Drosophila melanogaster: one gene and its partners. The gene in region 1 interacts genetically with each later gene. Each region holds a gene or a part of one and is shown in the gene's direction. Other genes may lie near its edges. The genes, in order: p38b, bi and Atf-2.

Evidence for each region.
Region 2: of p38b (region 1) and bi, changing one enhances a phenotype caused by changing the other (phenotypic enhancement), as found in Drosophila melanogaster (one study listed by BioGRID).
Region 3: of p38b (region 1) and Atf-2, changing one enhances a phenotype caused by changing the other (phenotypic enhancement), as found in Drosophila melanogaster (one study listed by BioGRID).

Annotation. Positions count from the first base shown.
Region 1 is NT_033779.5:13,778,898-13,783,240, forward strand, and holds p38b (p38b MAP kinase), read left to right. Parts: upstream 1-1,791; 5' UTR 1,792-1,867; intron 1,868-1,969; 5' UTR 1,970-2,102; coding exon 2,103-3,200; 3' UTR 3,201-3,712; downstream 3,713-4,343. Other genes in the region: CG9008 (uncharacterized protein), read right to left, coding at 748-835; CG16890 (uncharacterized protein), read right to left, coding at 3,713-4,048, 4,100-4,343.
Region 2 is NC_004354.4:4,411,297-4,415,964, forward strand, and holds the start of bi (bifid), read left to right. Parts: upstream 1-1,559; 5' UTR 1,560-1,624; intron 1,625-2,165; exon of another isoform or gene 2,166-2,603; intron 2,604-4,668. UniProt on the Drosophila melanogaster protein: Essential protein that may function as a transcription regulator. Vital for pupal development. Required for proper development of the optic lobes and wings, and abdominal pigmentation.
Region 3 is NT_033778.4:24,868,391-24,872,100, forward strand, and holds Atf-2 (activating transcription factor-2), read left to right. Parts: upstream 1-1,717; 5' UTR 1,718-1,819; coding exon 1,820-2,855; intron 2,856-2,908; coding exon 2,909-3,018; 3' UTR 3,019-3,099; downstream 3,100-3,710. Other genes in the region: CG16896 (uncharacterized protein), read right to left, coding at 3,100-3,255, 3,319-3,710.

The DNA of each region.
Region 1 (4,343 bases):
GAAACTCTTTCCGATAAGAAACTATGAAGATCTCAAGAATTTCCATTAGATATATATGTAGTTATTTCTTCCGGTGTACGATATGCTGTCTGTTCCAAACGCTGTTGTGTCTCTGGCCGTCTGACTGTTGCTCAAACGGCTGCGACTTGGAAAGCAACGTGGGCAGCCCAGACACAGGCAGTCGTAATTGTTGAAAGTACGCTGGGTACACCAGTGCCAGCTCACATACATACATATGTACATAGGTGCTCATAGAGAGGGACCTGTATACATATATGTACGAACCATATACATATATATGACGCCTAATCGAAATGTGCTGCGAGTAGGAGCCGCATCGATCCGATCTCCAAGATCCAAACTCCAAGCTCTAAGCTTTTCCAAAACCGAAACCCAACTGATCCCCAGCGATTGGATCGAGTGGGGGCATATATGTACATATAGCGCCTAAATTGCGACGATCTCGGCTGATAAGATAGCAAAGGCCCTCTGGCTGGTGCGTAGAACAGCGAAAGGTAAAAACAAGGTTATTTCCAGAACGAATTGATAACCTCCAGAGGTCGCGAATACATCGAGAATAGGGGGCGAAACGGGTTTCGGTTTCGGAAGAGTCTAAGCGCCAATCATCCGCTAAAAATAACGCCAACAAAATTTTGGCAAAGTGCTGGTGGTGTCTTCTTAATTATGATTAATTGTTCGCCAGCTATTCATTTGTTGTTTATCATTGTTTCAAGACATTCTGCTCACCGTGCAAGTTGATGGTGCAGGTTGTATTGTTTCCGCGATCCAGAACAACTACACTCGTTGCGGCCATTGCGGCCGCTGTCGTGGCCATTTTGAATTTTCCTAACGGTAAAGGTATATCCGGGGGATCGTTTGAGATCCTGTGTATGTTTGTGTGCGTGCCTGCCTACTGAGGGAGTATATCTTTGAAAAATTGGGTACGAAAAGAAACTGTAGCTCCGTGGCACTTAAAGCAAGGCGATCTGGTTTCGTACTCAAAACGGGCGTCGATTGAACTTTAATTTGCGCATTTACATAATGTTTGCAAAAATTATTCTGCACACAAAGCACCGCACTCACACAGACGCGCCAGCACACACACACTCACTCGCACACACACATACACACGCACGCACAGAGCGCAGCTTGAGTTTTTGTCAATGAACAAATACGTATGGAAAAAACTCGTGCAAAAAACGTTCGGGCGAAAAGCGTCACGACCCGGACCTTCGATGTTCTGCCAACGAGCGACCGATTGAAACTAAACCAGCTTGCGCCAACTGACCGCCTTCTGTTACCGGCCCATGTTAAGCTTTAAAATTAGCTTTATGTCCATGGTCGACGAGGGAGTACTCTACCTTAAAATTATATTTTTAACGTATAACTAAGTATTTACTGAAGTGGATGATATTACCACATTATTCACGAGTTTATGGTTTCATATAAGTTCATTTTTTGCTTTAATTAATGCATTTTTAATTTAAATATTTCTTATTCTCAAAGGTGTGATAATAAAGAATACATACATAGAACTCTCCAAATAATATTGAAAGTATTTAAATTGTAATATAATCTTAAAAACTTTAATCAAAATTGCATATAAAAATCTAATTATTATTATTGTTTGTGACGATCATGTACTCTGTCAACCAAACTGCGCAGAAGCTTTGTGAATTGATCCGCTGCCTCGATGGACTCTGATTTTTGTAGGGGACACCCTAAAGCCAACCATGTTAACGCATAAACGAGCAGCAGCTGATTGGAAATCGGACCCATTTGCGGTTATCGATAGCCAAGACAGCGTTGTTGTCCAATCAGAAAAGGTGTAGGCGCAGCGGAATAGCATAAATAAAATCCGAGAGATGTAAGTTGCAACTTATTTGTGCAGATACAAATGAATCTGGGCAGGAATACCCGAAATTAGCTACGTTTTCCCGTAATACCCGGTACGATTACTCATTTCCAGCAATGTTGAGGCCGCGAAGTGTGGAACAGAGATAACTAATCCCACAAGCAAGAAGAAGAACTGCCCAAAAAAAGAGCCAGCGGATTAATAACATTATAGCACCGCACCTGAGCGTACAGAACATCCCAACGAAATGTCGCGCAAAATGGCCAAATTCTACAAGCTGGACATCAATCGCACCGAGTGGGAAATCCCGGAAACATACCAGAACCTGCAACCCGTGGGTCAGGGTGCCTACGGCCAGGTCTGCAAGGCCGTGGTCCGCGGAACCAGCACGAAGGTGGCCATCAAGAAGCTTGCCAGGCCCTTCCAGTCGGCGGTCCATGCGAAGCGCACCTATCGGGAACTGCGGCTGCTGAAGCACATGGATCACGAGAACGTTATTGGTCTGCTGGATGTCTTTCATCCAGGACAGCCCGCCGATTCGCTGGATCAGTTCCAGCAAGTGTACATGGTGACCCACTTGATGGACGCCGATCTGAACAACATAATACGCACGCAGAAACTGTCTGATGATCATGTCCAGTTTCTGGTCTACCAAATCCTGCGCGGTCTGAAGTACATCCACAGCGCTGGGGTCATCCATCGTGATCTAAAGCCATCGAACATTGCGGTAAACGAGGACTGTGAGCTTCGCATCCTGGATTTCGGTTTGGCCCGTCCCGCAGAAAGCGAGATGACCGGATACGTCGCAACGCGATGGTACCGGGCGCCTGAGATCATGCTCAACTGGATGCACTACAACCAGACGGCGGACATCTGGTCGGTGGGCTGCATCATGGCTGAGCTGCTGACTGGGCGCACGCTGTTCCCTGGAACCGATCACATCCATCAGCTGAACCTCATCATGGAAGTGCTGGGCACGCCAGCTGATGAGTTCATGAGCCGCATCTCCTCGGAGAGCGCTAGAAACTATATTCGTTCACTGCCGGTGATGCCGCGCCGCAATTTCCGCGACATCTTCCGCGGTGCCAATCCGCTGGCCATCGATTTGCTGGAGAAGATGCTGGAACTTGACGCCGACAAGCGCATAACCGCCGAGCAGGCGCTGGCCCATCCGTACATGGAGAAGTACCACGATCCAACCGATGAGCAGACCGCCGCGCTCTACGACCAGAGCTTCGAGGAGAACGAGCTGCCGGTGGAGAAGTGGCGGGAGATGGTCTTCAGCGAGGTGACGGCCTTCAAGCCCACAGCCGCCTTCGCTGAGCTCCTGCCCAAAGAGCAGTAATCCCGGCCGCCATCCCTCTCCGTTCAATGATGCTATATACAATTAGAACAGTCTTTTCTACACCTAGTTCAAGCGGATGCGCTCAGTCGTGATTTCTCTACTCGTCGAGTGTAAACAATCGGGGATATTTATTCTAGAGCGATTTATATTTAGAAACTCTTCAGTGGCTGGATTTCAACAATTTGTTTTGACCACAAACGTAAGGTGAAATAGTATTGTATTTTCGAACCTTCGATTTGCATTCGATGGATATAGAAATAGCGATTGAACTAGGTGCATGCCTGAAATGTAGCCATTCGGAAATGTTTCCAAAAATCAATCAGAGTCACAGCCTTAATGTCCAGTTCAACTTTAGATTTGGTGTCGGTTTTAACACGCAGTTCTTGTGAATAATCCTGTAAATGTGAGTGTACATGTACATCGTAGTTCGTAAGCGAACGCATCTAGCGGCCAGTAACTATAAAAAAGAGCACTAGTGTCTACGTTGAATCCAAATAAATGTGCTATGTATTTTAAAAAATGAGATCCTCTAGATATCGCTCGAATTCCTGCTCTCTGGAGGCTTGCTCTCGGCTTATATCGGGTTGTTGTTGCCAGATCTGTTCGTCTGCCGTGGTGGCATCCTTTGAGTCTGTGGGCTCCTTGCTGGCTTCTGGATGGGATTCGGATGCTGGTTCGACAGGCTCCTCCTCCTCTTCGCCAGAACTTTCGTGACCAACATCGAGTTTTCGACGCTTACGTTTCTTTTCAGCGCGCCGTTCCTCCTTTTCCCTGCGTCTCCGCTTCTTGCATTCTCTCTTCTTGGTGCGGTAGTTCAGCTGATCCGTGTGGGTGGGACACAGCCGCACCTATGGAATTCCCATTAGTGACACAATCGCGGAAACCCATTTGGAACCCACCTTGACCAGCGCATTTAGGGGCTCACCCTTTTCGATATACCTAAAGTTTACCTCCCAGCTGCGCAGATTATCCCGCTCCCCGCAATGCCGGCTGCCGCACTGGAACTGCCCGGTTCCGGTGACCACCTCCTGCTCCGTTCGCCAGCGCAGCGCTATCTTGTTCTCCTTGTAGCGGGACAGGTCCGCGATGCAGTACTCCTTAAATAGCTTCCTGTAGTATCGCAGGGCCAAGCGCTGCTCCCAG
Region 2 (4,668 bases), on another chromosome or scaffold:
ACGGAGACGGAAAAGGACATTTTTGCCTGTGTGACAAAATCGCTGACTACGTGTGTGTGCGTGTTTTCCTTCTCGCCATGTAACGCTATCTCGCTTCTACACGCACACACATGAACACAAGCCCGAGACTCCGCCCACTAAGCGATCGCGATGAGATGAGAAAAAAACTCACCACAGTCCGGTAAAAAACGCTCAACTCACTCACTCAGTCATACACACACACACACACATTCACTCGCTCTCCCACTCTTTCTCACCGAGAATGCGCATTCCCTCTGGCACTTGCCTTCTCGTTCTTGCGCACATGAAACTGTGTAAAATGGTCGCCTTGCAGGGGGCGTTGCTTTATGGCCGTCTTTTTCGCACCCATGCGAAAGTGCCGCAGTGTGAGCGAGAGGGAATGCGTTTGTGGATGGAGGTTTTGAAAGCAAGAGTAGAGAAGATGCGACGTTGTAAACGAATTTGCATATTTCTACTGCTTTACGCTTATTGCATATTTTATTCATTACGTTCTGGCGCTTCGGCGGATGAAAACCCAAGAAAAGGCGAAAAGCGAAGGAAAGTGTCATATGGCATTCCGACTACCGTTAGCTCTGCGTGACATCGGTCCTCCCTTTCGCACGCACAATCTTCATCCTTCTTTTTGCTTCTTGTTGAGCTTCTTCCTTTTTTAAGCTTTATAATTTATAAATTCGTTAATATATAAAAAAAAAGTTGCTTAAAATTCTAAATTCTCAGTTCAAGATATAAAAAATTCAACAATTATTCCTACGAAAATCCTTTTAAATAATTTCTTATAAGCTGTTAGCTCAATCTGAATACAGTCCCAACTATCTCTGGTTTTGTATATTTTTTCTGTAACTTAGAATTAATATTTAGTGTTTTTTTTAAAGCTGAGCTTTTTGTTTTTACTTTCATTTGATTACCAAGTATTTCCAACCCAAATATATACATATATATATGGTATATATATTACTTAACTAATAGCTACAATCATATTTACGTCTTAAAAGGATTCTTAGCTGTTTTAATATCTTAAAGCTGTTTCCAGATTTCATATACTTAAGGTCATAACAATGCCAACATCCTAGTTTGTTTTTTATTTGGCTCCTTTTACCCGAAATTGGTTCCACGTATTTCTGCAAATTTGTTTATTTTCGCTTGGCAGCGACTTAATCTGTGCTCCAGTTTTTCGTAGTATCCCCCCCCAAAAAAAATGGACACCATACACACACACATTTAACGGTTAAGCCGTTGTCCTTTTTTCCCAAGAAGTCAAAGGATGCGATTCGAATGTGCGTGAGTTATCCGGCGTGTTGTTATCCTGGCTCGGACCAAATAGGATACAAAAAAAACCTAGCATAAACCGGTTCTGAGTAAGTGCTCAATTACTCACACACACACACACACACATGCAAAGAAGTGCTCACTCAAAACGAAGCGAAACGAGGCGAATTCGTGCCTCTGCCTCTGCCGACGTCGACTGTGCTGCCGTGGTGGGTTTTGTGAAGCAAAGCGTCGAGCAGAGTGGCGAATAGCGTCATTCAAAATTGGAATTCTGTTAGTAAACGTCGACACTTCATATGAAACGAAGAGCGGAGATCACAGCGGAAAATCCAGGGGTGTACGTGGGTTTAAAACGCACAGAGGGATTTCACTCAAAGAAAGAAAGAATACGTTTATACTTATATAGGGTTAGACCAGGAGGGTAGGCTACGTATAAAGACAAGAAGAAGGAAAGCAAAGAAAGAATGGCCTCGCCAAGTAAAGCTGAGAGCATAGAGTGTAGGGATTACACAGAAGGGCTTTAAAAAGAAAATATGTAACCCACAAAATAGCAACTACAAGACTACCCACGACTTGGGTGTCAAAATGCTTGTCATTCGACAGCACGGCGAGGGGGAAAACCTATGCTAAGCTGGCCTTAGCTTTTTTGCCCGCGTGTGGTGAACATAACACGGGCCAACCCACCTCCCCCCACGCGATGGGGATTCCCCACTTTCGCATTCTGCCGGCGTCGCTGCGAACGTCGCTGCCGGCTTCTTGCACTTTGGCGCTCGGCGTCGTCTTGGCCCGGTTATTTGTTGTTTTTTTTTTTTTTTTCGTTTTTCGGGCTTTTCGGCTTTTTGGATCGTTCTCGGCCAGCAGTCGCCGCCTGTCACACGCTCACGTCAAACGCTTTTGCCGTCGCGTCGTCAGATAAACCAAATGTCTCGCCGTGTTTACGTGTGATTCCCCTTTTTTGCTTCAATCCGAAGGCAAAATAAATACACTGACCTTAACCGATACGGCTCACCGTTTAACCGCTAACCGTTAACCGTTTCGTGGCCGTCGACGATAAGGAATCAAGAAACAACATCACCCTGCAGATTCTGTTTTGTTTTGTTTTTTTGTGCAGTCCAGAATTTTTTGAAAACCTGACAAGATTAAAGAAAATTGTGTTTGAAAAGTGCGTAAAGTGTGGAGTATTTAAACTTAAAAAAAAAAACATATATAAAAATCAAACAACAGCAAGGTGGGAGGTCCAAAGAATATAAATAAAAAACACACTGGTTTCCGCCTGAGATTTTCAAAATACCGTTTCAGATCATGAAAACATAATGGTATACAAATATATTATGTTTATGCTGCCCTTGGAAATAAATAGTATACTATCAAAAAAATCTACTCCTTGGTTTTTCCCTACTTGAGAAATGAGAAATTTACAAACATTAAATGTAGAACTACTGATAATTACTTTCAATATTTTGGTGATCCAATGAGTTAATAGGAAAGTCCTTAAACAAAGCGTGGTGGAACTCCTTCCCATTATGATAATCACATCGCATAACACCAGGGAGATTGTCTAGATTGATTGATCCAACCCCCAGGAGATTCCCCATCCCGATCTGCTCAAGCGCAACGAAATCGGAACCATTATCCAATTAGCTAACTCTTTCCGAACCCGTATCATCAGTTTATCGCCTCGTCAATTGTTTTCTCATACTTTTTTCGCTACTTAACTGATGTGACAATTTGTAGCCATTAGCCGGAGGCAGTCAGTCAAACAGTCGCTAGATTTGCAAGTTGTTCAGGCATGACAAAACAAAAAAGAAAAAAAAAAAAAAACTATATATATGCAATGTATGGCGATGGATAAGGGGGGGGGGGAGAGTTGGGGAGCGGGGTTCCGGAGACGAGATCACGATCGCATCTCGACACGCAGCTAAAAGTGTAAATCAGCTCGCCTTCCATTATGTCAACAATCTCTTTGTCTGTCCGTATTATTTACATTTGTCAAATCAAATTTGACAGCTGCGGAAAACATAATATCTCAAGTCGGCGTCTGCGGCACAGTCCGGTTTTTTGTATGGGGCCTTATTCAATAGGGAGGGGATCAAGGGGATTCGCGGAGGAGATCGTAGCCGCCTAGGACCACCGATACAAACTTGTATTCAGAACTGGATTTGTCGCTTCGCTCTGTTGTGCCAAACGAACTGAGCCATGAACACAAGAATGAATACTTGGCCAAGCACTCGATCAATCTGGTCTCACACAAAGTTCTTTCACTTGAAGATGTACAAAAATAATTAGACATTTTTCTATTTATCTATTGTTATACGGAAAAGGATTTAAAACGTGCAAACATTTTGACTACTTGTTCTAATTTCGAAATACTAAGCCTGAAAATCAAGGATATTTATAAATCTAATATTCCAAGCCACTGGCTATTATCATTCGCGTTTACAGAGCAATGTTTTGTAGGAAAGGATTTTCCCCAGCACCAAAATAATTTTCTCTTTCGAGTAGTTTATTGCACTGCTTATTAGCGATTAGTGACTTTTATGACTGTTTAGAAACGTAGTACTCAACCCTTTTCGAAAGTAGGTAACAACCCTTAACCATTTGTATTACATATTAGAGAATGTTTTCTTCTTGTTTCCGAGGGAACATGCATTTTCTTTTTGATCCTCATTTAGTAGGGATTACATTATTACACAGTTGGAAATATATATTGTCTTGATCGAATTACGGAATTAAGTGTTATATATACCTAAAATAGTTCCAAAATACCACAACACATAATACCTATATCTTTTGCTGACTTCACCAATTAATTGGTGAGGTTTCCAGTCGGGGTTGTTCGTTGGTAAGCTGCTAACGGACTTATGACATGGATATGGCTATGATTCGGGAATCACGATTCAGTATTCCGTATTCCGTATTCGGTGGGGTATGTACTGTGTACTCTGCTACTATAAAATGCCAGCTCCATTGTTGTTGCTACAACCGGCGGAAGAAAACGGAAGAGGGGATTGTATTTTTTGGATTTCGGGAATTGGGAATGGCCTGGATGCGGCACTTATCCTTGTTTTTTTTTTTTTTTTGGGGTTGAAGGCAACAAACACACTGCACACTTAACCGATAAATACGCACCACATCTATATTATATGTGTGTGTACATACTCGTATATGGATGCGTGTACGTTTGTACATCCGATGGACAGATCCTTTGTATCCTGCTATCCTGGCTCTATCTATTGACTGACTAACACGCCAGCTGACTTGGCAGGGGAGGAAGAAGCCAAGCGCTGGGGAAGTAGAACCTGGTCCTGCTGTCTCGTGCAAAGCTGACTGACATCCAGCAACTTCCTTTGGCCTCAGACTTCAGCAGCACTCACGCAATTT
Region 3 (3,710 bases), on another chromosome or scaffold:
CGGATCCTGTAGGCCGCACATGCCGTTATGGCCAATTGCGGTCCTTGACTCCTTTGCAAATTTCCTAGGGCCAGAAACCTGATCATCAAGTTGGTAACCAACGCTAGGGTCATGCCAAACGTGTCTTTGCTAAAATGGAATGGTTAATCTGGTCAAGTCTTAAATACCAATGTATCACTATGAGGACTGCTATACCTTTATATTACATATTTTTCAAATAAAATTCAAGTTCTTATGGAACTTATTCAAACATTTGTTCTCAAGCTTTACTTTAGCCTGATCGCAAGCTATTCCAAGTTTGGAAAAAAATTTTGTGCACTCAGCCACTTGATCCTAACCACAGAGACCGACGGACAGTAAGAAAAATGGCGAGGTTGCAGTGCGATGATGGAAAGGATGTGGCGGTGGGGCAGGAAAAGGAGCTGATGGGTATGGATACTTTGAATGCGGGCAAGAGAGAGATGTTCATCGGAACGCATGTTCTTTGAAAATTGCCCATAATTATGCGAACGAACTTCAAACTGATTGTTTCTACCGGCAGCAGCGCAGTCCGAGAAACGAGAATCCAGAGCCGAGGATCGGAACCCATCTCCATCCCATAGCTCCATGGACCATGGACCACGCTGTCCGAAAAACGCGCGTCCGTTGCATGCAACGTGGCAGGGATGGGATGGAATGGGATGGGATGGGATCGAGATCGGGACATGGCCAAGGGTATGGCTGTGTGGAATAGCCCGCTTGGCTGCAGTGAAAGAGAATGACTGTAATTACGCATCACTTTTTCTTAATTTTCATGCTGTGCATCTTGCGGCCCTTCCTCCTCGCAAACGGAGCGGATTGGAGTGGTGGTGAACAACGAGGACGAGGGCCGGAAGGGGTCCTCCATCTTCTCGCTGGGAACAATTTAAGCACTGAACTTGACCCACAAGTCGAGTCTGCTGCTTTTTGTGCGGCAGAGTTTTAGAAAATTGCTCGTTTCGTTGCGTGCATATTTCCCAAAATGCGAGCGGCTTGAAATCATTTTGCGTGTTGTTTTGTCCGCTGTCTGTTTTCTGCTTGTTCCTCCAATGAGAAATCTAATTTAAAAGATACAAATTTTAAATTATGGGGTTTTCTTGGCTACCAAAAATGTTTCGATGTTTTTTCTTCGCTTTACCTTCCTCTTCTTCACATATGATTGCTTCTACGTGCCGAAGACTCGCATTTTGGCATTTTGGATGCGATGGCAGATACGCAATTTCGTTGCGGAAATGCCGAATGTCAAGAGTGGTTGCATAACAGCTTCAAACACAGAAAGGCTAGGAATAATAAGGGTCTCATGACAGAGGGGTATTTTTTACACACAGTATTTATTGGTAACCAGATTCAAATTGAAAACATTCGCGCGCCTTTTTTGCACCCACTCGCGGTATCGATATATCGGTTTGCACACATCACTACTGTGCTAAGGTAAACAACATATAAAATATACATTATATCGAGGTTTGAAAATTCCTTTACTTATTTTGTTACACAATGAAGATTATTCAGTATTTATTTGATTTATTTTAAGTTCTACGTTATGATCTTTGTTCTACCAGTAATAAAATACATTTTACATCGTAATTACGGCAGAAGAACTTAGTACCTTTTCCAGCACTGCAGCCAGAGTTGGTTTCTTAATGGAGTCCGATAGGTTCAATAACACATCCATACATCGATAACAATTTTATTTTTTGTTTTGCTAATGTGATTTACAAAATAGTTGTTTTAATTGAGAATTGTCGGCAGATTATGGAGTTTGATTTGTAAATAGCATGATTTTGATGTAACTTCTGACATGGACACCGCCGGAGACATGGATCACCTGGCCAGTGTGTCCTTCGGCGACTTTGAGACAAAATCCCCAGAGGGCGACGTATCCTGCTATCAGAACTTTCGGGCACAGACGGAACATGTTTCGCTAGACATTTCTCTCGGGCAGAAGTCAGACACTCTATTTGCCGCCGACCAAACGCCCACGCCTACGCGACTCATCAAGAACTGCGACGAGGTGGGTCTCTTCGAGGACCTGCAGCACGTAAATCCATTTGACATTGGATTCCAGCAAGCAGCGGAGCGAAATGTCAGCGGCACTCCGAGTCGCCCAGAGGCTCGACCCAATGACGGTGAGTCCCTGCACACGCCCCAGGTGTATCCCGTCGAGGCCCCCACCGTGGTATCAGTTCCGTCTGAAAATCAGGTCCCACAAAGTGTCAGCTGCGGCGATATGGATGTGGACCAGCTTCTGGCCACGACAGTTACCTCGCCTTCCAAAGCCAGTCAAGATGGTCCGCCGCCGCTGCAGTTGATCCAGCCCCAGGTCCTAACATGGGTGCTGCCTGCGCAGTCAGTTCCCATTTCCATCGCTACAGTTGATTGTAACAGAAACAGGGTGAAGCCGACTGGTGCCATTCATCCCTTCATACTGCCGAAACCCACTGCGAAAGAATTAAACAAGACCAGTAAAAGACCCGAGCCTATTTTGGTCAGTTGCAACCCACCTAATAACGAGCCCAGTAGCGCCAGTCTGACGCCCACCTCACAGCTGCCCATCAAGGAGCGATTGAAGGCCATTATCCACAGCAATAATAACAGACGAAGTTTCTCCACACCGCCCAAGGCTGCGAAAGCAAAGGATCGCAGTCGGGACGAGGATTGTATGGAGCGACGAAGAGCAGCAGCCTCTCGTTACCGTAACAAGATGCGAAACGAGCATAAGGACCTCATCAAACAGAACGCCCAGCTGCAGCAGGAGAATCAAGAACTGCACGAAAGAATTTCCAGATTAGAAAAGGAACTGCAGCAGCACAGGAGTCACAGCAGCTTAGCTGGCGGTAAGCTTTAATAAACCATTCCTGAAGTTAAGTTAATTTATTTTCGTTTATAGTGGTGGCCGACCAGCTGCGGATTCCACCATCCAGTATACACTTGCTCATCAATGTGCCCAACGTGTTAGTGCCTTCGTCCGCCAGCAACGCAAGCGCGGCCAAGAAATAACCAATATGCCTTGTTTATTTATTTTCTAGTGCCATGTACATAATCCTAGCCTTGTAGTTTATTCGTACAAAAAAGCCTCAGTTAAGTTAAATTCCTTCTGTACTCCAATGTTTTGTCTGTGGTTATGATTTCCGTAAACTCTCTCTGTATCTCAAAAATGGAATTCTCGATATCCACCAGCTGGGGACTAAATTGCACAGATGATGTTGCTGGAGTTCGCAGCTGTTCCATGGTCATCTGTTCGGAAGAAAGTAGACTTAGGAGATCACAGAATACAATCTAAAATCTTTTATCACATACATCACGCAAGTTTTTCTGCAGCTGATCACGCTGATAGCAAAGTTTCTGGATTTTGTCGTAATACTTCTGTGCCAGTGGAGCACCCTCCGTATCCGAGTAGTAGCGCTGGGCAAGGAGCTCCATCTCCTGGTTACGAATTTCATCTTCGGCCAGCTGCATTTCTTGGTTGTGACGCCGACGCTCACGCTCAATACTGTGCATCAGCAGGTCCATGTCCTTCTCCATCTCCAGAATTTTGCGTCGCTGCTCAGACTCCTGTAACTTAGTGATGACCTCGCTCTTGCGCCGACGCACCTCCATTTGGTAGGTGAGCAGCATTTTCCGTTGGCAGGTGATGCGCTCTTCCTCGCGATGGATTGTGTCCTGGTAAACTCTCTCCATTTCTTTGAGGC